Mytilus edulis: one gene and its partners. The main gene of each other region encodes a partner of the protein of the gene in region 3 in a complex. Links are inferred from orthologs where the notes say so. Each region holds a gene or a part of one and is shown on either strand. Other genes may lie near its edges.

Evidence for each region.
Region 1: eukaryotic translation initiation factor 3 subunit I-like (region 3) and eukaryotic translation initiation factor 3 subunit H-A-like share a complex: the UniProt entries of both Caenorhabditis elegans proteins name them as parts of the eukaryotic translation initiation factor 3 (eIF-3) complex. The link is inferred for Mytilus edulis from reciprocal best matches to the Caenorhabditis elegans genes eif-3.I and eif-3.H.
Region 2: eukaryotic translation initiation factor 3 subunit I-like (region 3) and eukaryotic translation initiation factor 3 subunit G-like share a complex: the UniProt entries of both Caenorhabditis elegans proteins name them as parts of the eukaryotic translation initiation factor 3 (eIF-3) complex. The link is inferred for Mytilus edulis from reciprocal best matches to the Caenorhabditis elegans genes eif-3.I and eif-3.G.

What each region holds. Positions count from the first base shown.
Region 1 is NC_092353.1:8,917,870-8,929,217, reverse strand, and holds the start of eukaryotic translation initiation factor 3 subunit H-A-like, read left to right. Parts: upstream 1-6,465; 5' UTR 6,466-6,540; coding exon 6,541-6,597; intron 6,598-8,281; coding exon 8,282-8,438; intron 8,439-11,348. UniProt on the Caenorhabditis elegans protein: Component of the eukaryotic translation initiation factor 3 (eIF-3) complex, which is involved in protein synthesis of a specialized repertoire of mRNAs and, together with other initiation factors, stimulates binding of mRNA and methionyl-tRNAi to the 40S ribosome.
Region 2 is NC_092345.1:11,398,486-11,409,247, reverse strand, and holds the start of eukaryotic translation initiation factor 3 subunit G-like, read left to right. Parts: upstream 1-6,006; 5' UTR 6,007-6,098; coding exon 6,099-6,118; intron 6,119-6,216; coding exon 6,217-6,263; intron 6,264-9,178; coding exon 9,179-9,273; intron 9,274-10,006; coding exon 10,007-10,066; intron 10,067-10,762. Other genes in the region: sperm-specific protein PHI-2B/PHI-3, read left to right, coding at 1-315. UniProt on the Caenorhabditis elegans protein: RNA-binding component of the eukaryotic translation initiation factor 3 (eIF-3) complex, which is involved in protein synthesis of a specialized repertoire of mRNAs and, together with other initiation factors, stimulates binding of mRNA and methionyl-tRNAi to the 40S ribosome.
Region 3 is NC_092344.1:35,623,066-35,632,969, reverse strand, and holds the start of eukaryotic translation initiation factor 3 subunit I-like, read left to right. Parts: upstream 1-4,922; 5' UTR 4,923-5,050; coding exon 5,051-5,053; intron 5,054-9,140; coding exon 9,141-9,321; intron 9,322-9,904. UniProt on the Caenorhabditis elegans protein: Component of the eukaryotic translation initiation factor 3 (eIF-3) complex, which is involved in protein synthesis of a specialized repertoire of mRNAs and, together with other initiation factors, stimulates binding of mRNA and methionyl-tRNAi to the 40S ribosome.

The DNA of each region.
Region 1 (11,348 bases), on a different chromosome or scaffold from region 3:
TACTAACTATTGAATAACCACATGTGTATAGTAAAAAATACGTCACAAATTTTGAGGTATGATTTTAATACCACCAGGTAGACAATTTTATTGGAACTGACCGTCGTCTTCTTTTCAATTCAAAGTACATTTGTTCCCTCCGTCTTGTTCTGTCAATGAAACCGTGCAGCCTCCACGACATAGCCAAGGGTGCCGGAAGTTACGTTAAACACCCTAACGTAATCAATCATTATTCTTTAATAATTTATTATTTTTGTTTCATTGTTTTTCATTGCAGCGGAGCAACAGTCTGTCCAGATGACAACACGTGGTCGAATAGAGCAAACACGTCATGAATATCATTGTGTATATAATACATCATGTCAACTTATAGAAGAGTGTAGACCAAGTCAAACAAATGATAGGATTAGGCTTTACTTTATTGAACGAAATACTGAAGCATTCAACATTAAGACAGTGGCTGTTATGTCAACAAATAATTCCAATTATCACAAACTGCAATATATAACTTTATTTAAGAATTGAATGCTTCTTTTTGTAAATTTATTGGGGTGTAAAAGCGTTGACCGAAGTACATTTTGTATGAAGCGCGGAAGCGCTTCATTCTAAAAATGTGCGCACGGTCAACGCTTTTACAACCCTATAAAGTTACAAAAAGAAGCATTCAATACTTATAATTGCATTTTTTAGCTATGATCATGAAAACACGAATTTTATATATTTTTTTATTTAATTCACCTGTGCCCTTTATTGTTGGACCACGTGTTATCATGAATGAAAAGTTGTATTGAGCATTGCAACTGCTTACGGAATAACACGTGATGTGCAGATAGCCAATCAGAATAAAGTGTTATAATGAAACATACATCTAATGTAATTATGTGAAAGTAATACGAGTCATGTTCAAAATTCATCGCCTACAAGGAAGAATGATAGTTATAAGCTATGCTGTATCACAGAATCTGTTATACTTATAGGGCTTTTAGTTATAGGAGTCGTGTGGAAATATAGACAAATGCAATATCAAGGCAGTGGCGTAGCTAGGTCATTTTGACGTGTACGCCCGAACCTTGGCAAGGAATCCAAGGATTCCAAAACGGGTCCATGTCAAACAATCGCTGTTGTGGTTTAGCTAGGAAGCAAAGCCACCGGAATCTAAAGAGTAATCGAGAATGGGTACCATTCCTGTCATCAAAGGCTCATCAGTAGCAACATAAATTAGAATCTAAATGGATTATTTGTTATGTTAAATTATTCATTTTTGTTAATTAGAAATATAATGGTCATTTGATTTAGAGAAAGTGTCAAAACCAGTAACTTTTAAAATAAATTATGTTTAAAATGAACCGTTGGGGTAAATCACTCAACCAACAAACACACCTATTTTATGTCAAAATTTCATAAATGAACATGTAAAAATTAATCTTCAGAGATGTTCAGGTGCAATATTAGATATGGTAAAGTGTTTTGTAGAACCCTGGTTCTCGTCTGGAATATTCCTCGCAAAAGTGAATCCAGTTATCAGTCCATTACAGGATTTAAAAAAAATCAAACATGTTCTTTAGATATTTTTTTTATCTAGAATATTACTTTTGACCCTAGTTTCATAACTGTCTATGCAGGGTTATGCATTTGTGAATTTAAAAAGCCATACAGTCTGTCAGTATAATATTGAAAAATGAATAAGCAAATTTACTTTCAAAATTGCTTAAAACAAAATTTGTAAAAAATTCTTGGATTCTGCTGAAGTTTCATTAATTAGATGAAGATTTGACAAAGAATTTGTTGTGTAAAAAATGTTAACCAAAGCCTATAACTATTAGTACCTGTTAATTTTGTTTGTAAAACACGGTAAACTGAACTGCATATAGTTTCAACATTATGCTGTCATTCGAAAATGAACAAATATACTATATGATACCATTGGCTGAAAAGTAAATTTTCCGCAATTACAAGCTAATGAAGAAAGAATTATAAAGCTGATGTGCTTCTTACTACTTCTTTTTATTATTTTTTTAGATTACATTATCATTTTCTCAAAATTCAAGTGTACGCCCGGGCGTTTTGACGTAAACGTAGCTACGCGCCTGCAAGAGAGTGAAGCAAGTACGAAATTAATAGCAAAAGACTGTGAGATAGCGAGATTTAAAAAAAGAAAATTGTGATTTAAAGGAACAATCAGTAAAGCTTGAAGAAGAGAAAAATCATATCGTGGAACAACTAGTACGGCTCAGAGATATGTGTGGAGAAAAGCCCGGCGTCGAAAATCGCTTTGCGCAAGAAAGTTCACCAGACGAACAGACATTTGGAGATTTTCGGGAAACTGACATCTTAATATCATAGTCTACATAGATAAAGTATTTCCGTATTTTCTACGAATTCTATGAATGGGAACAATTCTACGAAATCTATTGGGAACATTTTATGAAGAATTCGAAAAAAATCCAAACTGTTCATTAGATGGATTTTTAACTAAAGCAACTACTATTTGTATTCAATGTAAACATGCACGCCTATATCTGGGTTTTGTTTGTAAGTGTGTGTGTGTGTGTGTACTTTATGTCATAAACATGCATATATCTTGTATATATCTTGTTTGTAATCGTTATGAAATAAACTTGTCTCGATTATGACAGGTCACGAGTGCCATCTTCGGCTATGACAATCGCTGACTTTAAACTTGCTTATCAACATGACCAATCAGTTGACATTTTTGAATTAGAGTAAAGCCTGATCAGATTAGTGTGAGAAAAATATATTCAAAACGGTTTTCATTCCTGGCGCACTATAACTTAATATCTTTTAGAGTACATACACTCTAACTCTCTTTCATCTTGCAGTAGTATTAAAACATTTGACTTTTCTACACTTTACACAAGTATTCCACATTTCAAAATAAAAGACAAATTGGAAGAGTTGGTATTGATTTGTTTCATAAAAAAGAATGGCCAACGTAGATACAAGTATTTTGTCTTAGGGACTAACTCAGTCTGGGAGGGATAAATCCTACTTTGTAAAGGATTACTCTGATTCAAACAAAAAAATCTCTGAAACTTACATTATCAAGATGCTTGATTTTTGATTGACAGCATATTTGTTACGTTCGGAGGACGTATTTTCCAACAAACTGTCGGCATTCCAATGGGAACCAATTGTGCCCTCTTCTGCCGACTTGTTTCTTTATTATTATGAGGCTGACTTCATACAGGAACTTCGTAGGAAGAAAGATAAGAAGTTAGCAATATCCTTTAACTCTATTTTACGCTATATAGATGATGGTGGGGTTCGTGTTGCTTAGTCCTTAGTTTTCTATGTTGTGTCTTGTGTACTATTATTTGTCTGTTTGTCTTTTTCTTTTTTAGCTATGACATATTTTCAGTTTGTTTTCGATCTATAAGTTTGACTGACCCTCTGGTATATTTTGCCACTCTTTTTAAATTACTTGCTATTCACTTTTTTCTTTCGCAAAAACAAAAGCAGTTATAAGGATAATCAACTCTTTCAATTTGTCTTATAGTTTAGAATGGGGAATACTTGTGAAAAAGTGTAGAAAAGTCAAATGTTTTAATATACTATTGCAAGATGAAAGAGTCTTAGATTGTATGTACTCTAAAACATCATTTTTTTAGTATATCAACATCAATCTAATTGAAATAAAGATCTCTGCTTTCGTTGTACTACATATGCCTATAAAAGGGTGATTGAAAAATCACCAAAAAAGATGGATTTCGGAAATGAGTACTAGCCCAGCAATCTCCGTACAGCGCTCGTTTCCTTTCCGTATACTTACACTGTGTCTATACCACACCGGCAAAATTTGTTCGGACTAAATGCTATCTAACATCCGGCACAATGACGGAACATTAATAGACAGAAAAAAGCTAGGTTTCTCCTTATTTTCTTATTTTCTTTATGATATCGAAGAATATATATACATATACAACTATTTTCTAATGTGATATGCAATATTTTCTACAACCGTTCTATATTAACGGAGAAATAAGTAAAAATGCATGTCAAAATGACGAATTGAGTGAACCTTGCCTCGAAATTGTTTAATTTCTCGTTAACTTGTTCACATTGTACGGAAAGAATGGTACGAGAAGATAGATACTGACACGGAGATTGCAAAACTTGTTTTTATGAACATCTCAATACTTGTATTTCTGAGTATGGAACGAAAGAAATGGGTCATGTCAAAATGGAACTGGCCGGTTTCGTCAATATGTACCACCCGGTTTGGTCTTAGATTTTACAATGCATAACCCGGTTTGGTCAAATAAAAAAAATCATAATCGCATTGCATTATAATTGATAATTTAGCTTCAGTGTTAAAAAGGAGTTTTGTGACCGGGTAGTTGGAAAACAAGTTCTTTCACAGGACAACGGCTTATTATTTATATGATTAGTCTCAGATTCAAATAAAAAATAAGCAAACACTAAAATTCCTACTCTTATAGAAGACAAATAATTTTTATTTTATTTTGCATTCAAAAATTTTTAACAGCAGAATACATATAAATGAAGGTTATAACGCAAATTGAGGTTAAAGCTCTCAAATATGCGTTTTATATATGAATTATGGAAAATATGATAAGACAAATGTATATATGCATGCATAATCGAAATGGAAAATGAATGTTTATAGGAAGAAAAGGATTACAACTACCATGCATCAAAGGTGGGATCGGGGGAGGGGGGTGCAATATATACGTCTTCGAGATTCGCCACTTATATTATAAAGTGTATACCGAATTAAAATATTGTAAGAAATAAGAAAACAGGGACACCCGCGAAATCGGATTATGTGAGTCTGATTATGTTTATTATAAACATTCTCATTGATATTTTTAAACAAGCGACACTAATTGATTCGAATTCATAGCGTTTTGAACTACATGTATTTGTATAAAGCTGCATATGTCAAAAGTAAGAAGGTTTGACTGTAACATATACAAGTATGAAACACAGATCTAACGATTTTTTTCCCTATTTGTCATATGTCCATTGCCCTTGCCCTTGACCTCATTTTCTATATTATTTTTCCTTCGGCCACAGACCTTCACCATAAATTGAATTGCGACCATTTAAGCATTTGTGACATGTACACTTAAATATAAATAATATGTCTTATTTGTTTTATTGAGAAAAAAACGTCAGTGAAGCTATGTCCGATCCGGTTCGTGAAATTTGAAATTTTCAGTTGTTACACATTGTTTTTAAATTCAAGAACGGTGTAATTTTGTTTGGAATTCTTTAATTTAATTTTTTTCAATAATGAAATAATAGATAGAAATTATTATTTTCAAAAATATATATATAAGGCATATAGCAAAAATGACTTAGGAAGTCAAGAAGATATACAAATAAATCGACTTGGTCGATATCCTAATAAAACTTTTGACCTTTAATTAAGAGGTTTTTTTTCCATTTCATTGCGTTTTTACACGCCCGTCAAAATTTTGACAGGACGTATTATTTTGTATACATCCGTCCGTCCATCTGTTCTTCCTTCCTTCCATCCGTCCGTTCCTCCATCTATCAGTCATTCTGTCCGTCCGTCCGTCCGTCTATCTTTCCGTCCAGCGTAAACATGTCGCACCGTAACTTGAGAACAGCTTATCTAGTTTTCATGAAACTTAACAAAGTTATTTCTTGAAATGGTCAAACGAACTATAAACCTTTTAGTAAAAATCAAATGAAATCTTATTGAGTTACAGAACTTTGTAAGTAAAACAGGAGTGTGGTTTTTTTTAACATGTCGCGCCATATCTCAAAACGATTTATCATTATTGCATCAAACTTTACACACTTCTTAGTAATATAAATCTTAACTTCTGCATCTTCCCGTATCTTTCTTTCCGTACAATGTGAACAATTTAACGAAAAATTAAACAATTTTGAGGCAAGGTTCACTCAATTCGTTATTTTGACATGCATTTTTACTTATTTCTTCGTTAATATAGAACGGTTGTAGAAAATATTGCATATCACAATAGAAAATAGTTGTATATGTATATATATTCTTCGATATCATTAAAAAATAAGAAAATAAGGAGAAACCTATCTTTCTTCTGTCTATTGATGTTCCGTCATTGTGCCGGATGTTAGATACCATCGAGTCCGATCAAATTTTGCCGGTGTGGTTTAGACACAGTGACTTAGTACACTACAATACAATGACTTAGTGTAGTGATACGTAGTAAGTACGGAACGGATGTGAGCTCTGCGCCGGAGATTGCTAGCCCAGCAGTATATTATCCCCTCAAACATGTTTTGTACAAGATCGACAGAATGAAAAAAAAACGAATTATAATTGTTCTTTTTTTTTATTTTATCGACATTTTTTTCTTTTCCAAGAAATATTGTACAACAATACATTTAAATTATTCGGTTCTATAATGGTTAACGCCACAATTTTGACACTAGTACTCAAAGGACGAAATATTATTTGGGGCGAGTTTGTGTATAGGAATAAATAAAATATGTTTTGAGATTGTCCAGAAAGCGTTTCATTAACCCGGACTCTCCTTTTCCAAGATGGCTTCCAGAAAACACACGAGTTCTCCTGTACAATATGTTCAAATTGATGGTCTTGTACGTGTTCTAATTAATAGATTTCAATAATTAGTGTATGCTCATTAAATATAACTATTTAGCTTTTCAATAAAGCTTTGAATAGGTACCTTCTAATCTGGCGACGCAATTACATTAGTCTCACATCGTTTGTAGTGCCACAGGAAATTCATGATAAATTTCTGTCAATAAATATGATAAAAGTCTGTAAATAATAAAGTCGACTATTAGAAACGCTTCTCCTCTGTTTTTTTTTCATAGACTGCTATGTATGTTACAAATCAAAATAAGCCAGGCTTCCCAGAGTGTGACATTCTATTTTGTAGCCAGTACAAATACATTTTATATTTCTGTAAATTCTGACAATGTACTTATATTGATACACCTGGCACTTAAGTGTTAGTTGTTTAAATCCAATTGGTTGCCTCTGATTATTCAAAGAAATCAACATAGTTGAAAGAGTGTATGAGCACAGGAGTTTGAAATCCTATCAATAAGGGGGTCAAAATATACCAAAGTCGACTACCACAGTAGAGCTTCTCTCTCTCTTCGAGAGAAGCTCTACTGTGATAGTCGACTTTGGTATATTTTGACCCCCTTATTGATAGGATTTCAAACTCCTGTGGTATGAGTGGCCTCCTGTCTGTTTGAGATGTGCCCCATTCAATTACACTTTATTACATAGTTAGACTCGTAACGGGTAGAAGAAGAATGCCTTTACCATCAAGCATCAAATGGTTAATATTCAAAACATTCTACTTTTAATCTCATCAAGTTTGACAGAAGTTTGACATCTTGAACTATTTCGACCATCCAATGTTGATTTCCGGTTACTAGGATCTTCTATCTTCCTTTATGACTAACTATGATATCTAATTATAACCTAATTTGCTATTCATATGCAAGAAGGTAGAAGAATCATGTTACCGGAAATCAGTGTTGATTGGTCGAAATAGTTCAATATGTCAAACAGATTCTGCCAAACTTGATTAGATTAAAAGTAGAATGTATTAAATGTTGAAAAAAGTGGATTATCTTGACATATAAAGGTTGTTGATTCTAAAAAGGCACATGAAAATGTTGAAAAAAATGTTTATCTACCAGTGTGTATTGGTACGGATATCTGACAAATTTATACAAAATAAGCGAAAAATTAGTGCAAACAAATTGTCCACGATCTCCTGTTTTGGATTGGAACTGCTTTCTGTCTCTATACATGTATATTGCACACAAAAAAAAATAGAAAATAGCAAAATCAATAAAAAGCGAATGTAAATTAGTAAATATATGCATTATAGGGACAGAAGAATTTGGTCTAGAAGAATGCACAAGAATTTGAATGACTTTTCTGATCTGATGACTGAGTTCTTTATTACGAAGTTGATATATCCTTTTGTTTCCTGCACAGATTTATAACATTCATTGGGATGTATGTGTGAGATGGACCAACTGAGAATACATTCATATATTTTACTTTGTTGCATTTTAGGGTGTATTGAAGATAGTTAAGCATTGTCAAGAACACGTTCACATACATATATTTTACTATTTTACATTTTAGGGTGTATTGAAGATAGTTAAGCATTGTCAAGAACACGTTCACATACATATATTTTACTATTTTACATTTTAGGGTGTATTGAAGATAGTTAAGCATTGTCAAGAACACGTTCACATACATATATTTTACTATGTTACATTGTAGGTTGTATTGAAGATAGTTAAACATTGTCAAGAGGAAGCAGCTGGTGGAACAGATTTGGTCCAGGGTGTCTTGTTAGGTCTAGTCGTCGACAACAAGTTGGAAATCACAAATTGCTTTCCTTTCCCCAGGCATAATGATGAAGAAGAATTTAATGAAGGTAAGTAAAGATATTTTCTGTAGTTTACCTCATAGTTCCAGTGAAAGGAGTTGTTATTATGAAGTGTCTGTGGTTGTATGTGTCTATAATTTGTATCTCTATTGTAAATGTTTGAATAAAGCTGAAGTTGAGGCCACACCAAATTAATTAATAGTTCTTTGAGATTTTACCCAAAAAAAAATGGGGCGAGCGAGCGAAATTTAAATTTATATTTTTAAATTCTTCGCCTCAAATTTTAAAGAAATATGGAGCGAGTGATATTTTTTTTCTCTCAATTTTTATATCTTTTACCTAAAAGAAGCAACTGAATTTTCTACTCACTTAATTGAAAGGGGACATAATTTGATATAATTAAATTATCTCCCTTTTTATATGTATTTCAACTTTCTGCATTCTTTTTCATTTTGTTTTGTTGTTTGTATAATTAACACTGCACAAATATACACTTTTGAACATATTTTTTTATGCATGAACTTTATATGGCTATCTGCTTTTAATATGCACTGCTTTCATCTGTAGTATATGCACCTTCTGGTCCTTAGACACCCTCTGTAGTATGCTAGCTAGCTTCTTGTAACATAACTGCATGGTGTGTGTTTTGTGTTTATGCATATGGATCACATACCAGTTAATCCAAGCACAGTGGAAACTGGGGATCCTAGCTAGTGCTACTTTACAATTAAATATCAGAAAATAAATTACACCAAAACATACCAACATGGAAATACCTACATAACCTACATTTATAAGCCTATGTTATAACTAAGATTTCAACCAGATGCATCATGGAGTCTATAATCCTGCAATAGAAATGCATTTTTTTCATTTACAAAACATCCTGTGTTAAACAAGTTAACTTTCAATTTCACCCATCTTTAAAAATGGTATAAAATATCAAATTTTATCATTTTGTCAGTACCTTGTATTATTATAAAAAGGTACATATAAAAATGGAACAATATGGGGTATTTTAAAGTTTGAGAACTGCACAACATCCACCAGGAAAAATAACAAATGCAGAAAACCTCTTTACCTGTATCTAAAGTGTCTAGTGACCATCCTTGATCAATGTTTGAGGCCCAATCAATGATATCAGAGTAAAGTCTTTGTGGCCCAGAAAGCTGTTTCCCAGACAAGGGGACAGGTTTATCAGGCATGTGTAACTCATTTAGTGAGCTCATGAGTACCGAAAATGCATTAATTCCACTTGGTTTTGAATTTGATGCATCTTTAGTAGCAGTAGATCCATCATCAATTGTGAACTGCACATATTTAAAGTTTAGGTCATTACATATTGACCATACCATATTTTCGTCAGATATTTCGATACTAGAATCATCGAAACTGTTCGACTTACTTATTTGTATGGTTTTAATATTAATAATCTCACTTTGTGCATCGCTACATCGTTCAATGGCTTCTTGATATAGTTCCCTGAATGTCCGACATTTTGTTTGTGTTGCCGTATTTTTTAATATGTATGCCTTGTTGTTATTTTTGTCTGAATGTTTCACCACAGAAACAATCAGCACGTTTTCCATCTTTGCAACTTTTTTTATCAGAATCAAAAATATGCTTGACAAATGACAAACACTGCATATTTTCAAACGCTTAATTGATAAAGATTTTTTTTTAATACCGGAATCGAGTTCGTTGAAAATGCGGATTTATTTTCGACGTGCAGGAATTTTATTTTTATTTTTATTTTTTGGTTTTGGCAGGTGAGGTGCGGGAAATTTATTTTTATTTTTTTATTTTAATTTCGGCAATTTAGGTGTGGGTTTTCCAAAGAACTACTAATTAATTTGGTGTGGCCTGATGGTTAAAATTAATATCTTTATTATTATACCCTTGACAGCAAAGTCAAATGAAAGAAATCAACAATGTTTGAAAACTATATTCAGTTATGCCACAAACCATAAAACCTTGCAAAGAATTAATTCCTGCTAGGCTGCTAGGCCACCATAGCAAGGTTGGGCGGTATTTACCGCCCTGGACAATACTCTTCAAGTGGTCAATTAATACTGGCAAATACATATGTGTAACACATAAGCAAACGACAACCACTGAATTACAGGCTCCTCAGTGACTTGAATGTTCATTACCATGATAACATATATTAAATGTATTTTCATATTGAAATTGATAGAAAACAAAAATTTGGCAATTTTGGAAAAAGGGAGGAGGGATAAAAGAAAACATTTTCCTGTCCCCAGTACCTATGACTTTTGATACCTTTCCTGAAATTCTCCAGTCATTAAGTCTTTTACAAAATTCTTTCCTACGACAATTTACCTATTCTTTCAACCACGCTCTGAATGCCCGCGATTTCGCGGGTGTGTTCTAGTGATTTATAAATTAAGATATGATTTTTTTGAAAATAGTGTTTACAGGTAAATAAAACTTGAGGTAAATTAAGTTACAGGTGTCATATTACCTATCACCTGGCATTGCTAGGTGTGATAATTTAACTACTAAAACAACAGCCCCCAATGAATGATGACAAAACATGGGTTGAAAGTAATAAAAAGGATATTTGAAGATACTCATTAAGTTAAAAAATCAAATGTTTTTATCCTGTGTATTCAACTGTAAGACAAAAACCACCCTGCAGGAAATGAAGGAACTTTACTCTTATGCCTTTTATAATTTATGGTGTGAACAAAAAAATCTATTATTTGGTGTAATAAATTTTTACATACACATCTAGTTCAACCACCATGACTTTAAACTGAAACCGAAACTTTAGTAAAGACCCTATCTGGAACTTTAATACAATATTAGAAGACAACAACACAACCAGAGCAAATGATTGCGATGCTATAGTCAGTGCTAAAGGCACCTGATGAGTCCTTGACAGGGACAACACTGTTTTTATCTTTTGTACTAATAAGTGATTGTAAATCACTG
Region 2 (10,762 bases), on a different chromosome or scaffold from region 3:
AGACCCAAAACTTCCGCTGGTGCTTCTGGTGCAACTGGTAGCTTCCGAGTTGGAAAAGCACCTGCTTCTCCCAAGAAAAAGGCAAGGAAAGCAAAGTCACCAAAAAAGAAGAGTTCAAAGAATAAGTCTAACAATGCTAAGGCTAAGAAGTCACCACGTAAGAAGGCTGCAGTTAAAAAGTCAACGAAGTCTAAGGCCAAAAAGCCAAAGTCTCCAAAGAAAAAGGCTGCCAAGAAACCAGCAAGAAAGTCTCCAAAGAAGAAGGCCAGGAAGTCACCAAAAAAGAAGGCCACCAAGAAAGCTGCAAAGAAATAGATTTTATTTCCAGAAACAACACAAACCAAAGGCCCTTTTAAGGGCCACCCAAATATTTCAAAAAGAATCTCTTTTGTTGTACAGTTTGTATTGTCATAGTCAAGATGTGTCTTCTTCCCTTTGTTATATATTTGAAGTTTAACTTAAATTTCCTGATTTCCCCGCACTTTTCAGAATAATATTAATCTTTCTTATGGGTTAACCCTTAGGTCATGTGTATATTTATATCGTTCGGTTGACGCTTTAATTTGTTTCATTAGCGTGCACCCCTTTATTCAATCAACAGCTACTCAAATAGATTCCGGGGAATTCAAATACAATGATTCTAAAAAGGATCTATATATCGTTTTAACTCTCGTATTTAGTGAACACCAAGTCCTATACAGTATATATAGTCTTAAGTTTTCCCTCTGTATTTCTATAGAGATTAATACATGGCCTTTTCCATATCAGCCTGGGTATCATCCAGAGACCCCCATATCAGCCCGAGACGGAGTCGAGGCGCTGATATGGGTCGAGGGATGATACCCAGGCTGATATGGAAAAGGCCATGTATTAATCGCTTTATCATATACTTCCGACAATAGTTTTATGTAAGGCAAAAAAAAAAAAACACAAATGCAACAACTAAAACAGTCAAAAACTTTATAAAGAAGTTAAGTTATAAATCCAATATACTACAACTGTCAATGCAACCAACAGCATCACTACCTCCATATACATATAGAATAGAATATCTTTTATTTCCATAAAGAGGTACCCTCAAGGGGCATAGTGCATATACATTCATGACAATATATAGTTACAAACAATTACAAATACAATAAAGCAAAACAACAAAACAGTATGCTTTAAAAAGTTAGACATTTTAAATATTACTTACAGTATCCCAGTGTTATATTATAAATGTTTACTCAAGGCAGGTGTTTTGATAAGAAATAGCCAAGTTGTTTTAAAATATTAATAGACTCACAGTTTAATAGCCAAATAAATTTATTGACCATATCCAAGGAGTAAAAATTTTTACATTCTTTAAATATCAGATCAAATAACATGTCTCTATCCTTAGAGTATACAGGACATTCTATAAGAAAATGAAGTTCATCTTCCACTTTATTTAAATCGCATTTATCACAAATTCTTTGATGAACTTCTAATTTGGAATATCTCCCAGTTTCAATTTTAAGTCTATGAGATGAAATCCTGAATTTTGTGATAGCTTTTCTCAAATCAAAATTTTTCAAGATATTTAAATAATTTTCTTTACAAAATGATGTTTTAAACTGACAATATGTTCTTAGTTTTCCTTGGCTATTTTGGCTATAAGCATTTTCCCAAGATTTGACATAGGATACTTTTAAACAATTAAGTAAACATTTTCTGAATTTGTATTTACTAAAATTAATGAAGTTACTAGGCAGGTCAATAATTTTACATAAGTGTCTGACACTGCTATACCAACTATTGTGATTTTTATCATCTAAATCTTTAGAGGTTTGTAAGGCTTTATATAATAAAGAGTCCTCAGGCATATTTTCAATTCTAAAATAATAATTCAGTAGATTTTTCACAATACTAATATAAATAGGAAATCTACCTAGTTCAGAGAGTACAGCAAAATTGCTGCTCTTTCTGTTTACACCCAAAATAAATTTTGTTATTTTCATGTGTAATTTATCTGGTTCAAGATCTGAATAAATTTTATCTAAGACTATATCATTTCTAAATTTACTACTCTTTGGGTTAAATGTACCCCAAATTTCAGAGGAATATAAAGAAATAGGTTTGATCATGTGATCAAATAGATGTAGACTGGTAGTAATTTTTGGATGTGAACGAATAACATCTTTGCATAATTTATAATAGCCTTTTAGACTCTTTTTGTACAATTCCTGTCTTGCATGAGAGAAGACACCTGAAGCCGAAAATATAAGGCCTAAATACTTGTAGTGCTGTACACATTCCAGTTCAACTTGCTGAAGAGTAAATTTTTCATTGATAAGTCTACCTTGCTTATTAAATACTAAAATTTTTGTTTTATTGGTGTTTATGTTTAAGCACCAGTCAGAGCAAAACTTATCAACATTTTTTAACTTAGATTGAAGACCATATGATGTGGTAGAGAGCAAAACAATATCATCAGCATACATTAAACAATTAATATTAGTATCACCCAAAATCAGATCATCATCAACATTATCAATATATGATGGAAAGTCATTTATAAAAATTTTGAAAAGATTAGGGCTTAGGTTATCACCTTGTCGAACCCCTAATTTAACTCTAAAAGTATATGTACATTTTATGGTAACATTTCCTATAGAGGCATTTTGAAACATTGAGTAGTTGGAAGAGTTTCATTATCATTATTACTCCATGTTTGTTGTACTATAAAATGATTCATAATTGCCAATGGTATTTGTTAGTAAGTACTAAACTATCCCCACAAAACTGTTCCCGTAAATTTTGACGTCGTCATCAATATCTGACGTCACAATGGAAAAAATAAACAACCGATACCGGAAACACCGGAAGTAACTTGCACGAGAAGCACTGTTATGGGTTTTTGCACGAGACGCCCCTGATATGGGTTATCAGACCGGGCTGATATGGGTTATCAGCCTGGGTGGGAAATTATGGCTTGTGTACTTCCGTTCGTTACACATATGCAAAAGCTATCATATTAATGCTAAGTATATGATAAATATAAATAATAAATAAAATAAAAACAATATTAACAAATTCTGCAAAGAGAAAATATAAAGTGATTGTCACAAGTAGACAGTCAATCAAACAACTCATAATATAGTAATCAGTGGTGTAAAGTAGCCAAAATAAACCGGGTTCACGGATTCAATTCATAAAATGTAAATTTTAAATTTCAGACCAATTTGAAATCAATCAATTTTTATAGAAAAAATGAATTAATAATATTCTACAGCTTGTTTGTGTATGCAAACATAACTAAATGAGTTTTTTTTTTTTGTTTCATCGAAAACTGAGCTACCATATTATGACCTTGTTTCGATGCATTTTGTGTTTAGTGATACACGAACATATATGTCATTACATGGATAAAACGTAATAACGAATGATGATTTTTATCAATTCTTGAGTGTTATGCTGAAAAATAGAGCTTTGGCCGAAAACAATAGATTGAAGGATATTTGTTTCCTTCTATTTTCTCTTGTATATTTACAATAAAATTGAGAATGGAAACGAGGAATGTGTCTAAGAGACTTGCATGGTCTTCAACACAGCAAGAAAATCCTGCCTAAATATTTCCCCCTTGATTCTGTATTTTTTGCTCATTATTCTCTATTCTGTAAACAACCCTGTTAGACCCTGGTCGTTGATTTTTATCACTCAAACATAAGTGTTTAAACAAAACTGCATGGACCGTAATCATGTTTATTCTATCAATATATTTAAAGTATAGTCGCTCGGGAGAATATCAATTCGAAAAACTAACAAGTTGTTGGATGGGACATTGTATGATGAACTCAACTGTTATAAAGAAAACATTCTAACGTAAGGGTACCCAAATTGCACCGAGTACCCAAATTGCACCTATTTAGAAAAAATAGCAACAGAAATCCTACAAGATTTCCTAGAGACTAATCACTTTGTATTTTTATGATTTGATACTATATACGTCTTTTAACATAGGTAAACATATTTAGATATACACAAAACGTTCACAGTGATAATCAACAGATGGACTGTTTACTGAAAAAGCAAAATGTACGAAAACGTCATCATGCGACGTCATCAAAGCGTCATCTTCCTAAAATTACCAAATACAATATCATAAGTATCCATTTCGTAAAATATGAAGAGTAAGCATGGACTAATATCCAATTGTTCAAAATATTTGAAGAAATTAAACAAAAGCTCGGTTATCAGACTTTTGACGATGTGAATTTATAAAGCATGGATGCAATTTGGGTACTCCTCATTACAGAATCATGGACAGTTTGGAGGTTGATTCAAACCCATTTTTTTATGACTCAATATGGATTCAAAATTAAATTGGTGTACCTATACAATAAAGAAGGATAGGGCTACAAAATACACACAGTATGGGCATTTTTTTCATGATCATAAAAAAACGTAGGTGAAAAAACAGTCAAAATAGGTGCAATTTGGGTACCGTCACGTTACGTGTAAATATGGACCAATGAAATAGTAAAAAATCAATATATATCCATACGGGTTCCTTAAAATGAAAGAGCTTCGAGTAAATTGTTCAAAATTGTCAAACAACAGTGACAAAATCATATCAAAAACATTAAAAAAAAAACATCGTTGCTATACATACATTTTTACTATAGTGTTCCTTTTCTGATACATTTCTCTTCAAGTTAAAATGCCATTGCCACAGTAAAAGTTGAAATAAATTCATTATCTCAAAGCCTGATATTTCATTGACGCCCTGTTCAATCGCTCCCACGGCTATTACACAATCACTTGGAACCTTCTTTAGCTTGGACAAATGTATAAAATACACGAAGCCATATTGCATGGATAAAACGGAGATGTAGATGTTGAATGGTGATTATTATCCATTTTTGGGCGTTATGTGTTGTGCGTTATGCCGGAAACTATAGATTGTGTGATTTTTTCCTTCTATTTTCTCTAGTATATTTACAATAAAATTAAGAATGGAAACGAGGAATGTGTCAAAGAGACAACAACCCAACTGAAAACGCAGAAAACGAGGCTACCAATGGGCACAGCGAGACAATCCCGCATTTATCTTTTTGGCCATTAATTCTGTATTTTGCTAATTATTCTCGACTCTTCTAACCACATTCAGACCCTGCCGTTGATTTGCACCATTAAATTGTTTCACATACGATACGATACGAGAAAAAATATTTCATAAATCATGCCGTTTAATTTGATGGATAGTTGCCTCATTGAGAAATTGTACCCCTTCTTGTTTTTATATTCATGTCAGATAAGATCGGTGCTTTATGTGTTTTTTGTCTTCTTTTTTTTTATCGTAATTTAACTAGTTTTCATTTTTTCACATATATTTTTATGTCTGTTCTGACACGAAATAGATCTTTATTTGTTTATTTGAAGAGTTGGGAAATGTTTTGCCGCTAGACATAGTATAGAAACAATCATCAGTTCAAAATGCTCGATTTTTAAGCTTGCGTGTACATAATAAATGAAAGCCATTAAACGTGAGTGATGCAGGACGTATTGGCCACACTAGAGGATCAACCACGGTCTCTTTCGATACAATCATACTTAACTTTAACAGTTGCAATTAAAACAGAACCCATCGAACACCCCTGGCTGCGGGTGTGCCCTCTGATCATTTGTTTTTAATTATCATTCCGTTGATTTATCTTTAGAAGTCATAATATTATGCTTTTGTCAAGTCATTGTTTAGAAAATATCAAACAGTCTACAAATTCTTATTAATTCTTATTATCAGACACATATACAAGTGTTATGATCAATTTCAACAGTTTTCTCTTGTTTTTATATGATGCATTTTTACTCAAATATCAATTATCTTTTTCATTTGAACAATTTTCTTTTTGTCAAGTAAAATTTCCAAAACAAATTTCTATAACCAAAATAATGATTATGAAAAATATGAAAAAATATGGCCGAATCAACAGGTGTCAAACTGGTAATGTGCCGAAATGACCTATGGACGAACTGGTATTGTGGCCGAAACGTCTCAAAAGCAACTTGGGACGAGATAATGTTATCATTTAGTTTTGCCCATTTAACCGGAAGTGTCAAATAAGTCAAGAAGCATGCCGTCAATAGACGCAGAGTATGTTTGGCTTAAAATTACTATATGATAGTCTACTATTTTCAAATCTGAAAGACTCCCTAACCTTGATAAACTCTATAACTTCTTTTCTATTTTAGGCCGAAAGGATTCAGTTGGGCCGAACAGGTAGAGCAAGGAGAAGATGGTAAGGCGCCTTTGACATATTGTCATCTTATCATATGTTCCAGCTGCTTTCATTCTGATCATATACTAAAGGGAGTAAATAAACCAGAAGGTTCTGTTTGGTCTCATTGTCTTGTATCGTTTATAAATTTAAAAGGGTGGTTGCCTATGGAGTATACTTTTTTCATTATAAGTTATAGTCACATGATCACTGTCGGTGTCAATCAATGGTCTACATAAATTAGCCACAGATAGCATGGATAGTGCATACATCAATCAGTGGTCTCGCTAGCCTGAAATAGAAGGGCGCCGCGCCCTGGGTGCACTCAGCCGCGCCCTGGGTGCCTTCATCCGCGCCCTTCTGTCCTGATGTCTTTTTTCCAAAATTCTCTTGTGCCGTTTTGGTAAAATTGCCTTTTGTTTCATTGATTTCTGATCTCCAAGTTAATTACATATATGACACTAGTGTGATTGCCCCCAGGTTAATCATGTCATTACAATCAATTACAATGATAAAGACTTCAAAGGTGTTAATATCTAGGTAATTTAATTAGGACAATGTATCTTTTTGTCATACATTTGATGAATGTGTCAGCGAGTGTGTTTAGCTTAGTGTGTTTAGCTTGGGTCGTCATTTTCGATTTCCAAGTCACAATGGAAGAGTGTATAAATGAAGACTTTCATGACTTTAGAATTGAATTTAAGTCATCAAAATAAAACTATGCCTTCACAGAAATGCCTTCCATCTCAACTTGTTAGCGACAAGCACAGTTTTTAATTAACGCAAACGTGTTGGAATTTAATTTTGGAGTTACTTCCCCTGTTTTAGCTTATTACAAATTTGTGCTCTAAAAATATTATCTAGTATCAAAAAAAGGAATAAAGAACCAATTGAATATATAATAACATAATAATGTTACCTTAAGGATATTAACTGTCTTTGAACATATTAAAAAAAATATATTGCAATTTCTGTTTGATAATTATACTTTTAGCAATCCATGTTCTAAACATTGATAAATTAGTAATACACAGAAACTTAGAGATGTACTATATAATTCATAACTACACAAACAATGAAATAAAGACTATAGTTAAAATGCATCTTTATTTAAAAAAAACCAACATATACAGTAAAAAAAAAGAGATTCGTTAACTCGTGATACACACAGAAACGTAGACAAAAAAATTTGCAGAGCCTTTTCTTATCATAAAAAGTGCCCTGCCCTCCACTGGCACCCTGCCTCTTTTGATTTCTAGCTAGAGCACTGTCAATATTATAGATGCTGTCATGTTTGAATAGCATCAGGTTTTTAGTTGAAAAATTTCTAAAATACCAATTGCTTTCATTATGTTCTTTCCAAACTAGTCCAAATAAAAGTTTATGGCGTCTGCTGTAATCTGGGACACCTTCATGATAGAAAGGTGTCCTGGAAAAAATAGCCTTGAAAGACGATGGGTCTCGGTGAAAACTGTTAAAATATGGAAAAATAAAGGTTGGCAGGTAGGTAAAACTTACATAAATGAAAAGATAAATGAAAAATGAACAGATTGATGCCCGATTTATGTAATTCCAAGGCCGTCAGTCGGCACCAGAAGCGACGAAGCAGGGCATCTATTTTGGGTGGGCAAATATCCACTTTTTGATATGGGACGAGCTCTGACGTCCAATGGCCCCAGCTTGTCTGGCAAACCAGCCGTTGGACGTCAGAGTAATCTCTGACTACACAAAACACAGATCAATTTTGAATTTTTGGTGGAGTCACTATAAACGATCTACAGTTGTGCCCCTTTAATTACAAATGTAAATATACGCTGAATTTTATGCTGCATTTCTAAAACTTTAGTCATGTTAGTTTGCCTCAACCAAATGCTATGAACAATGTACTGAAGTCAGCCTTAAACAAATGTTATGAAACTTTTACACATTGCTTATTACCGCATAATACAGATCAAGTTTGAAATTTGGTGGGTTCACTTATAGTGTTCTAAACTCATCCCTTTACAAATGGAATAAATGTTGAATTTTTATTTCTGTTTTCTAAAAACTTAATATAAGATTGCCTTTACCACATGTTATGAAACTTATACACAATACTTATAACCACAAAACACATTCAAGTACACATTCTAGTAGGGTCACTTTTACTGTTCTTCAGTTATGTCCCTTTATAACTTTATATGATATGCAAATGGGGCACTTTCTGTGTGTCATGTACAGATTCCACATTTATTTTTAGTGTGGTTGCACAGTATAACTCTGCAGACTTTAAAATTTCTAATCCATTGTCCATATTTAATCCACCATCATGGTTTCAATGAGAATCTTTAAGTACATAACATTCAGTTATTCTCCAATAGTTGATAATTGTGTCATTGATGTAATTCAGTTTTCTGTACTTTATGGTAACCTATCTTCTGCTATAAATTATTGCTCTAGACTTACCTTGTGATTAAGGAAAAGTTCCATGTGGTCAGGAAAATAAATAAATAAACTGAGCGTGAAACTCAACAGCAACACTTACAGTGAAAATTTAACCATGTTGGATTACATCGTAGAAAATCGTTAAGGATAATTTGATGGACATGGGGCACCATGAATAAAACATGTTGGGACATCACTTTCCATGGAGACCATATGAAAATTTCTCAGATTTTGTCTGCAAAAAAGAAAATTGACGCACCATTCCAAACGTCTCTTATGTTTTTCTGAAAATGAGGCTAGAAAAATATATACATATAAAATAAGGTGATGTGATATGATTGCTGATGAGACAACTATCCACCAGAGTTCAAATGGAGAGGATATAAGCAATTTAACCACTGAACTATAGGCTCCTGACTTCAAACTTGTTAAACATGTTTATTTACATTAAAAGACAAAACTTTGTTCAAAAATAAATGACCCAAATGATAATTCAGATGATTTATTTTCAGGAGTTCTGCCACCTTCTACAGAGACCATTGATGAAAACAAAGGCATCAAAGTAATCACAGAATACAAGTACAATGAAGATGGTAAAACTGTCAAGGTCAGTAATCCTGTTTAACATGTAGAACCAATAACCATGCTGACACGCATTTCACCAGTATTTAGGTTATGCTTGATTATAATAAATGAGGCCACTGGCCATGGACATTAATCATAACATTGTAAATTCTTCCAAGTTTTAAACAGCATTTGAAAAACAGTTTTGACAAGTGCTGAAATGTTTTGATAAATCCCACATGAAACATTAGCAAAATGTTATCAGTTATTAAATGTAAAAATGTGGAGAAAATAGTAAATATTTAGACCATTTGTTTCTTGTGCAAATCTGAACATGGTTATGGTAAATTGATTTTGTTCAACTTTGTGGTTAAACCAGAGACAGTATATTTAAGTTGTGTTAAGATAGAACATAATTGAAATCTAAATAGAAACAATCAACCATAGAAAACCAAAAAGGACAAATTAACAGATTAGTATAAAAATTGAACTATAGTTTACAAGTGAAAAATAGTCACAGTAGATTATTTCAAAGGTCATGCAAACAATATAATTGATCAAAGATTAAGTATCAAGGACTTTATTTTAAAGGCAATGCATATAAAGACTGATAATAAATAACCAGCAGAAGAAGAAAAAAACCAACTTGTACAATTCAAAAATTGATTTCACCAAATAAAAGCACATTTTGACTTGCAGAAATAGACAAGTTAAAGTTTTAATTAATTCTGAGACTGTAATAATTGGTAATATTTTTGCTTTTTTTTTACTTGTAGATTATTAAGACATACAGGATTGAAAGAAGAAAAGTCCCAAAATCAATTGCTAGAAGAAAGGTATATGTTTGTTACGGTTTAATTGATTGTGTTAATTTTGAGATCCATTCATCGCCCATTGCTGACAAAATTAGATACTTATATTATGTATCACATTCATAGCTTTTAATTTTGCCTGAGTAACAAAGTTGATTGTAAATAAACAGATAAGAATATTTCCTAGATTGTAATTAATATCCCTGGGATGAATGGAAAGAGGGTGTGTTGCTTACTTCTTTCCATCTATCAGATGGAATTATAATATTTTGTTCATGAAGCAGATTAACAATGAGAGCATTCTAAAATTTGGTATCACACCCCTAATGCATTATGTGAGCATGCTGTACAATGAAACAGTGTAAGAAGCTTTTCCACATCTATTGCTCATTAACTGTTAACCAAATACTTATAGTAGGGCCTAAAATAAAATATTGTTTGTTTCCCCAATCCCGACCGACCCTGCAAAATTGGTGCTACTCATAAAATTTTATTGTCAAAACTAAGTGAAAAATTATTTTATTCATTTTGGATTTTCAGGCTTGCCGGATCGTCCGATAATGTCAAGCTTTTTGGAAAAATAAAATTATTTCCCTACCTACCCACACCTGGCTTGGCAGGGTCGGGATTGGGGAAACAAACAATATTTTAATTTAGGCCTAGGGTAGCATTCATAGTACATCTTGTTTTACTCTTTTGAAATTAACATAATTTACAACT
Region 3 (9,904 bases):
CTGTGAATAAACTCATCAAAGATACAGAGAAATTTGTACGCCATGAGACGCAAAAGATTCGTCATCGACGCTCGAATATATAAAAAAAAAAAGAAAGTTAAAAAATGCCCCAAAAATACGAAGTTAAATAGCATTGAGAACCCAAAATCCCCAAAAGTTTTGCCAAATACAGGTAAGATATGTATTCCTGAGATGCAAAAGCCTTATTATTTCCAAAATTTAAAGTTTAACTTTTGTATAATAATTATGACCATATTAATGATAAGTCATGTCAATACAGAATTGCTGACTACTGGACTGGTGATCGTGACCCTCATAAAACTATAATATCAATGTTTAGGCGTAAATTTATGATAAACATGCATCATTGCTCAACAATTTGGTAATGTCTCGCCTATTGTTAGACTTTGAAACATTTCTAAAAAGCACTAGCTACGAGATTTGAAAAAAATAGAATATGATTATGTTTGGTTCAATCGTTCATAAAAGTGAAATAATGAAATAATGATTCGTTTTTGGCAGCAAATTTGACGCTACATTTTTGTCAAAATAAACAACGAAATATCGCTGATGAAGATTGGTTACGCATGCATAAGTCGTGTTCAGTCATTTATAAAAGGAAAAGAATGTCAACATTGAAGTGAAACATAGGTTTCTTATTAACTTATTTGTTTAACCTATAACATGAAATTAAATAGACCTATAAAAATCCAATTACCGTGACGAGGTCGCAATCTATTTAGATTTAGGTTTATGTTTATATCGGGTGATGTGAATGTCGGGAGTATTCGAGGGTCATCTCGGCAGTTATTTAGATGGCGTCTAAACTAAAATAGACATGAAATTCTGATATACATTATCGAGTACATGATTTGTCAACTGCTTAATTCAGACTTATTGTAATTTGGATATATACGTTTTAGTATTTTATAAATTAAATTTGAGGAATTGAGTCAAATCGTTGAACATGAATTTGGCAGCTAATGCCCCTTTAAAAACATGAGTCCGCTTTATTTTAACACTTACATTCTGAACTGTTTAACATCGTGTAGACTGCAACGATGAATTTGTATGGTCGTACGTACTTGATAATAAACTCATCATAGATACCAGGACTAAATTTAGTATATACGCCAGACGCGCGTTTCTTAGTGTGTCATTTCAGTTGCCGGCCCGCTAACCGTAAGCAATGTTTCTTTTGCAATTTGTCAGAAATTAAAACTTTTAAAAACTAGTTAAAACTTGCACTGAACGATTAGTTGCAGAACACTTATTAGCGGCCGAGATGAAACGATATTCAGTGGCGGATCCAGGGGGGGGGGGGGGTTCCGGGGGTGCGCACCCCCCCTTTATTTTTGCCGATCAATGCATTTGTATCGGGACATATGTTTTGCACCCCCCTGCACCCCCCTTTGCCCTGGGTTAGCACCCCCCCCCCCTTTTCGAAAATTCCTGCATCCGCCCCTGATCTTTTACTGTTTTTGTGAAAGGTATCACCAGCCTTTTATTCTATGTTTTCGTCACTGACCAGATTTACAACATATATCAGTAAAATAACGGTACTCAATTGTAAAAAACTATCAGATTTTTTGTTTTAAATTCAAAAGAATTTGAAAACTTTAGACAGTACTAAAATATATATGTAGTAAATTTGTGAGTAACTCATTAATTTGTACTGACAATTCAGCAGTATAAACGTAAATATGTATATATACAATACTACTAATGGGAACTATATCTTCAATTATTAATGCTCAAATGATATTTTGGTTAAAAACTATCTTTGTTTGGTTAATAAATTTTGTTTCAGAATATCAACATATGTAAATAACGAAGATCTGCTTTAAGGTTGGTCGTTTTTCAAATATTCCTAGAAATGAGAGAATAAAATTGAGAATGGAAATGGGGAATATGTCAAAGAGACAACAACCCGGCCATAGAGCAGAAAACAGACTACGACAACAATTAAAGGGGACAGTTTTCACACAGCGATAAAATCCCGCACCCAAAAAGGGGCTTTAGTTGTCCCCTAAACAAAACTAGTTCAGTGAAAATTGACGTCATACTAAATTCCAAACTAATATGAAAAAAAATTAGAAATGATACAAGACATACGCTCTTGACTTGAGACAGGCGCAAAGATGCGGCGGGGTTAAACATGTTTAGTGAGATTTCAAGTTTCAACACTCCCCCTATACCCCTAGCAAATGAAGAGAAAACAAACACATAGCAATACACACAGTAAAACTGTCCGAGTCTGATGTCAGAATAAGCTAAGATTTTATAATAGTCTCAGGAATAGGTAACAAAAGAAACTAAGAAAAATGATAATGATAAAAATTAACAAAGGACTATGAACAGTTAATAACATACCAGCTGCAGACCTTAATTAAACTGATTAAAAGATGTTGTCTTCATCCTATTTACATCAAGTACAATACCTCCCGTAAGAGGTTTAGCTACATACGGTCATATATATATTTTGTAAACTTGTTTTAGGTGTTCATAACAAATCCATGAATTTGGAAATTTTATCCGAGCTAGGACGATTCCCACTTTATTATGATATGATTAAATCCATGTTAGATTACTGGTATCGCTTGGAAAATCTTGATTCCCGATTTTCTCTTCTTAAAGATGCTTATGTTACATCACAGAATCTTTCTCATTAAAAAAAACCCATCTTGGTATGGCTCTATGAAATCAATTCTTGAAATGATCCCAGACATAAATTATCTATCTTCACCATTACCAAAAATTAATAGCTTCAAAGCTAATATGAAAAAAAATTAAAATCATATTTTATAGACTTGTGGAACACTGAATTGGTAAAGCATTCAGATGGTAAACTTAGAACTTATGTTACATTTACATCAATTTTTGGAAGAGAACACTATCTTTCCATTATTGGGAATTTTGAACAGAGACGAAGCTTAACAAAGCTCAGAATTTCATCACACCACTTAAGAATTGAGTCCGGAAGGTATCAGGGTACTCTCCAAAATGACAGAACTTGTACTCGTTGTAACTCCGGAGGTGTGGAGGATGAATATCATTTTTTATTCCAATGTGTTAAATTTAATGATGACCGCAATCATCTATTTCAAGAGATAACTAAAAGTTGCCCCAACTTTTCAACTCTTAACGCAAGAGATAAACTGATATGGCTTATGAACACAGAAGATAAGTCTATTTTCACTGCTGCATGTAAATTTATTTCGAAAAATTGTTAATTATGTGGCTTTCTTGTCTGCTTCAGACACCAGGAGGACTGTGTAAATACAACAGCTCATTGAGTACCACCCCTTGGTGTCTGTTGCAGTAGGGAAACCTACACTATTCTCAATACCTGTTTACTGCAGTTTATGTTATTAATTGCTGTGAATATACATGAACTTTTTTCATTTGTGTTTGTTTTTCTGCATCAGATACGAGGAGGATTGTTAGAGCTTTTAAGATCACAATCCTAGAGCATCGTCCCTTGGTGTCTGTTGCAGCTAAACAATCATTTATTTTATATTTATACATTTTCAGCAAAATATTATAAAATAAAGTGAGAGAAAAAAAGTAAATAAATAAATGGGGTTTGCCACATCTCTGGAGTAGCAACTCTCAAATACTTTTTATTTGACAAATAATACCTGTATGACTATTTCAATAGTTTATTTTAAAATGTTATGTAAAATACTGTATATTGTATCAATTATATATGTTATGTGTATATGCCCCCCTGGGGACCTAATTTGGAAAATAAAATTTATCTTATCTGATATGACCGTACTGTAGCTACGTTGTTCGGTGTGAGCCAAGGCTCCGTGTTGAAGGCCGTAAATTGACATATAATGGTTTATTTTTATAAATTGTTATTTGGATGGAGAGTTGTCTCATTGGCACTCACACCACATCTTCCTATATCTATAAAATATACGAGAACTTGTAAAACCCGTATTATGTCAACACTGAACTGGTTTTTGAATAAATGTGTCAGTTATTTCGAATGCAAAGACCCTATGAGTAAATCAATATTAATACCAAAACATGCCATTAATAAACTGACAACAGTTTTGTAACTATATATCTTCTAAATAAATCTGTTTAAAGATTTGGTTAGCTTTTGGGGTGGTTGCCGACATTTTTGTGCTTTATAAAGAATCATATTCCCATAAAGATTAGATGTAAAATACCTAATGTATCATATTCCATTACCATGTGAAAACTATATTGCTTAATCTAATAGGATTGTTCTCTTTGATTTTGTTAGCAAAAAGTATCAATTTTTCGATGTGTTACATTATCATGCATAATCATTTCAATAAGCGTTGAAGACTGCACCGGCAGGCTTCAAAACTGAGCCGAATTGGATAATTTACTAAATATGCTAGTGTTATGATAAGTATTTTTGTTATGTCTGAGTAAAAGTTATTGTAACTATGTATCTATATTGTTTGTTTCTATATTCTGTTCTTCTCATTTTTTGTTCTTATATGCTTCTTGATTGATATTAAAAAGTAAAATGACAAAAATACTGAACTTAGAGGAAAATCAATTCGGAAAGTCTATAATCACATGGCAAAATCAAATAACAAAACGCATCAAAAACGAATGGACAAGAACTGTCATATTCCTGACTTGGTACAGGCATTTTCAAATGTAGAAAATGGTGGATTAAACCTCTTTTTATAGCGCTAACCCTCTCACTTTGATGACAGTCTCATCAAATACCGTAATATTCAGTACATTGATGCGTTAACTAAACAGACACAATAATACATGTAATAGTCACAATAATAAATCACAGTTGAACTGGTGTGTTAATGTTGTCGTTATCATATTCGTATTCAAATTAACTTTGTGATTGACAAAGAATTATATAAAAGTTAAACTGATTTATCAGGTTTATGGTAGAAGAAATGAAAACTATAACGCCTACAGTACGGAGCTGTTCTCAAACATGAATGACAGGTTTTAACCCTTTCTCCAATCAGATTTATTTCCGGTCAACGTGCTGTCATGAAAGTTTATACACGAATTTCACAATAAAACAAATAGAATGGTAAGAATAATAAGTGAAAAGTATTTTTCACTGTTGTTTATGAAACACATACATATAAAAGTATACCAATAAGCTATGTACCAAGGAATATTTTCAAGTTTATTGGATTTATTCCCAAAAAAACGAGACCAGATGGCAAATTTCTACATTTTTAAACTGTCAACATGCCGGGTACGTTTCTCCAAATAACGTTAGACCCCTTTCACGTTCGCACCCTTTTCACTGTGCTTAAACGGCTGTGGTTAAGTTACCCACAGCCCAAGATGGAGCCGCCTTGCGTCGGTTAGATACTTTTCTTCTATATAATAACAATACCACGAATGCATCAATTAAACAACTGAATTTAAAAGTTGTATTAATCGTTTAGGGAAACCCCTAAACTGGAAAGGTGATTAAATTCACCAAAATAAACGATCACAGCACGATTTTAAAAAACACTTAGGCTGTCCGTAACTTCAAAACAACTTGTCCGTAACTTTTTTCATCATACCAATAGAGATGTCCGTAACTTTCAAAGAATCGACATACGCGGATGTAATGTTTAAACTGATGATAGAGATTCCATCGAATACATATTCACAAAACGAAGTAGATGTCTAGTATGATATAATTCATTGTATCGATGAAAGACAAAATTGGGAAAAATATGAAAAAAATCACGATAAATCCGTAAAACTCGGGTCTCATTTTGTATAACGTCGGGGTACCCGAATCGCCTAGTTCGGAGGGTTGTTTCCGATCATAGCAGATAAACTGTTGAAACATCATTGTTCGTTTTTATTTTTGAACAAGTAGACTACACAAGTATTTTTTACACATACATGTAGCATGTATACACTTACTGATTTTCTGCCAGCAACGACAAGGGTAGCGTGAATCCGGGATTTTGGAGGGGAACCCAAATTGCCCAGGCGTGCAGTGGATAGACTATACGAAACTTAAGTGCACAAACTTTTTCCGTCTTTTTGAAAAAGCCAAAAACACTTTTCTCTCATCCCCACAAAAACAAATCCCATCAGCATTGACAGTAAAATAAAAGGGGTGTCAATCTGGACACACTGGGACGTTGCGCACGGTGATATTGCGGCACCCTGGCCAAGATTTACAGTAAATGGGAAAACTTTAAAAAAGGACATTTTGTATAAATGAATAAACCTAGTTTTACAGCTAGCTGCATATTTCATTTGTATGCAAGTTGCATTAAATCTCATTAAACTGAATAAAACTAAAAGACACAATAGGTAAAAGTCAGTGACAATAAAAGGAAAAGAGCAGTCATCATAGTGTAACAATTCGACATAGTATATAAAAATATAAATAACTACGTAGGAAAACAGGGTAATTTAATAGTCTAACAACCCCTGATGACATACAAAGAGAGAAAAAAAACATACTAGGAAACATATTCAAAAAATCATAACACTATAACTAACTGGTGGGATGTATAAATACCGAGCCGCGTCAAAGAGTATTCATCAAAATACACATAGAAAGAAACAGAGGTGAAGACAAACTGCAAACATATAATTAAACTCAAAACATTAAAGAGTATGGAAAAGCCTTGGTCTGACAAGCGAAAAACGTCGATAAGACGCACATCAGTAAATAAAAGTTCAAACCATAACCAGGATGGAGTACCACAAACCCCACATAAAACGTCTGTGGTGTAAGTATGATGCGTTAATAAAATCACATTTGGTGGTGAATGAGTAGTATAAACGGCCGCGAAGGTTACAAATATGATGTTTATTGTCTTCTAATTGTTGAAATTATAATTCTTAAAATTTTAAATCAAAAGTTACCCACATCTAAAAATAAAGTTACGGACAGTCTGCTTAGTTTCGATCAAAAAGTTACGGACATCTTATGTATTTTTTAAAGTTGACCTTGCGCTTTAGTGAACTCTATATTAACAAATTTATGGTAATTGTTAGTCATTTCTTTATTCAATAATCCTATAAATATTTACATTCTGCATGAAAAACGTCGCAAAAGGTACATTTTGTATGAATTAAATATCAACGAGTTTAGAGTCCGCCATCTTGGGCTGTGGGTAACTTAAGTTACCCACAGCCGTTTAAGCACAGTGCTTTTATTGGTATTTACTATTGTCTTTAACTTAGTCTTAGTCATATATATAGTGGGCAAATAAATGGGGTATGCGATTTAACGCAAAAAAGTGCTACAAGTACATACTAAGCATAAAGAACAAAAGCCAGAGATTCTATACACTCAACGGCCACATACTCCATCAAGTTCAGAGCAACCAAAACCTAGGAGTGCAGATATCAGAAGACGTGAAGTGGAGCACGCACATAACTAACGTTGCTAAAACGGCAAATTCAACCCTAGGCTTCCTCAGAAGAAATTTACACCATACTGTCCACAGGAATGTAAGAAAACTGCTTACATTTCTCTAGTAAGATCAACAATGGAATATGCATCAACAGTATGGGACCCCTACAGTATAGCAGACTCAAACAAGCCAGAACAAATACAAAGACCAGCAGCACGCTTTATCACAGGTGACTATAGAACTAGAGAAGATGGCTGCATAACAAACATGCTTACAAAATTAGAGCTACAGGAATTGCAATTGAGACGCACAAGCTTATATTTTTGTACAAGGTGGTTGAGGGGCTGCTACCTGCTATTGATCCAGACGACTTCCTCAAATCAGCAAGACCAAGACAGCTAAAATGTTTGACAACTGTCAAGCCACAAACAGTTGAAAAACAAGTGAGGAATAATACCAGGTGTTTTGACATTCCTACCAGTAAAACACTGCAACATTCAAATTCATTCTTTGTGTCCACAATAGTAAATTGGAACCATCAAGAAGACACTATTGTTTGCGCAACAAGTGTAGAGAGCTTTAAATCTGCTCTCACGAAAAGTCAGTAAATCGACAGTGCCTTCACTCCCGTTGTATAAAAGCCAGAATTGGTAACTACGACGTACCCATACAGATACAGATAGTTTTTGATTGTTTCAAAATAAAGAGTCATCTAATAAAGTAAAATACTGAATAGGTTAACTTAGTTCAAAGGGTTTTATTAGGCCTAATTGAACTGCAAAAAAGACAGCAAAGGTCATAAAAATAATTCAATTTTGGATGCATCACGTCTTATGTTTGCGAGGACAATGTTGCGTCTATCAGCTAATGGTCATAATTTTGTCAAGTGACCGTGACGTCATGAATGTTTCATGTGTTTGTCATGTTTTACTTTAATAAAATTATAAGGAATGACTGTAATATTTGTTCTGTCTACAAATTCTTGGTCTATTTAGTGTGCACCACATTTTTGATGTTATTTCTACAGAAAAAATATTACAGTTTCTGAAATAAACAAATTTCCCAATTTCAATAAAATTTCAGTAAAAATAATGCATTTTCCACAATAAATATGGTATAGGTAGTTTTGAAAAAAGGCAATAATATCACTATACAAAGCAATCTTAGTCATATAGAAAAGTGTCAGCCTTCAAGCTTCACTTTTGAGTCCACAAACAAGAAACTCAATAGATTACTTTAGCGGTTTTTGGCACAACTTTGTAAATGTACAATGTTACATATCTGGCATGGATAGCATCACTGCATATTTGCTTCAAGTTGAAATTAACATTGTGAAACCCGTAGCTATATACAACATGAGTAACCATGATTTTCCAAAACTCAGAAGTTTAGATGAAGAATTGGCATGAATACATTTGTACAGGTGTAATACCGCTTTTGATTTTCCCCTATTAGTCTTTGTTAAATTTGCACTTTTCAAAAATTTTACAGAATTTATCTTTGTTCTAATAAAGAAATACTTGGCATGAGTAAAGTTTTATCTTGTCCAGTTCTATAGAAAAAAAATCTCGCTATGTTTCTTTTCTTCCTGTGTACAAGCTGTAGTAACCATGTAACCTCAAGTTTCCAAAATATTTTATAGAAACACCAAATAAAAAATGGATAGATAATGGTGCTTTGAAAAACCAAAGATGAATGTCTAGGACACAGATTTTTTTTTTACTGCAATGAAATGTTGTAAAATTTCCTACAACTGTCAAATTCAAGGGAATATTTTTTTTCTATTTACAGAAGCCAATTTTATTACACGGACACGAGAGATCAATCACCTGTATTAAATACAACAGAGAAGGTGACTTGATATTTTCAAGTGCTAAAGATAACCAGCCCAATGTATGGTACTCCCTAAATGGAGAGAGATTAGGATCATTCAGAGGACATAATGGTGCAGTGTGGAGTATTGATGTCAACTGTATCCTCAAATTATACTTCTGTTTACATCAAGAAGAATAGTAAAACACATGAATTATCATTAATCTTTGTAAATTTGGTCCTCATTTTGAGAGTACAGATTGGTAAATTTACATTTCTAACAAACCCAAAGTAATTTTTCTGTAAGGCATTTTACCATAAATTTGTAGTCTGACTGTTTTAACTTATTAATGATAGTAACCTTTTAACATTGAGACATCCCCATGGCCTTAGTTCAGTGTTAAATTGTAATATTACATTGGTTGCAATGAATTATGGTTGAAATGGATTACATTGATTTCCCATAGAAATAAAAACCGATAATTTCACATGTGAAATAAACGTGGTTATTTCACTCCTCCGACATGTCTGACGTGATACAACAAGAGGCGTTGTCAAGACGTTGTCGATTACGTTGGATCAAAACAAATTGTGAAGTCGTAGACAAAGATATAGTTCCTTACATTTTTATACGTATATTGATATCATGTTGGCATCGTCGTCTGCGTCGTCGTCCGAATACTTTTAGTTTTCGCACTCTAACTTTAGTAAAAGTGAATAGAAATCTATGAAAGAAATCTATG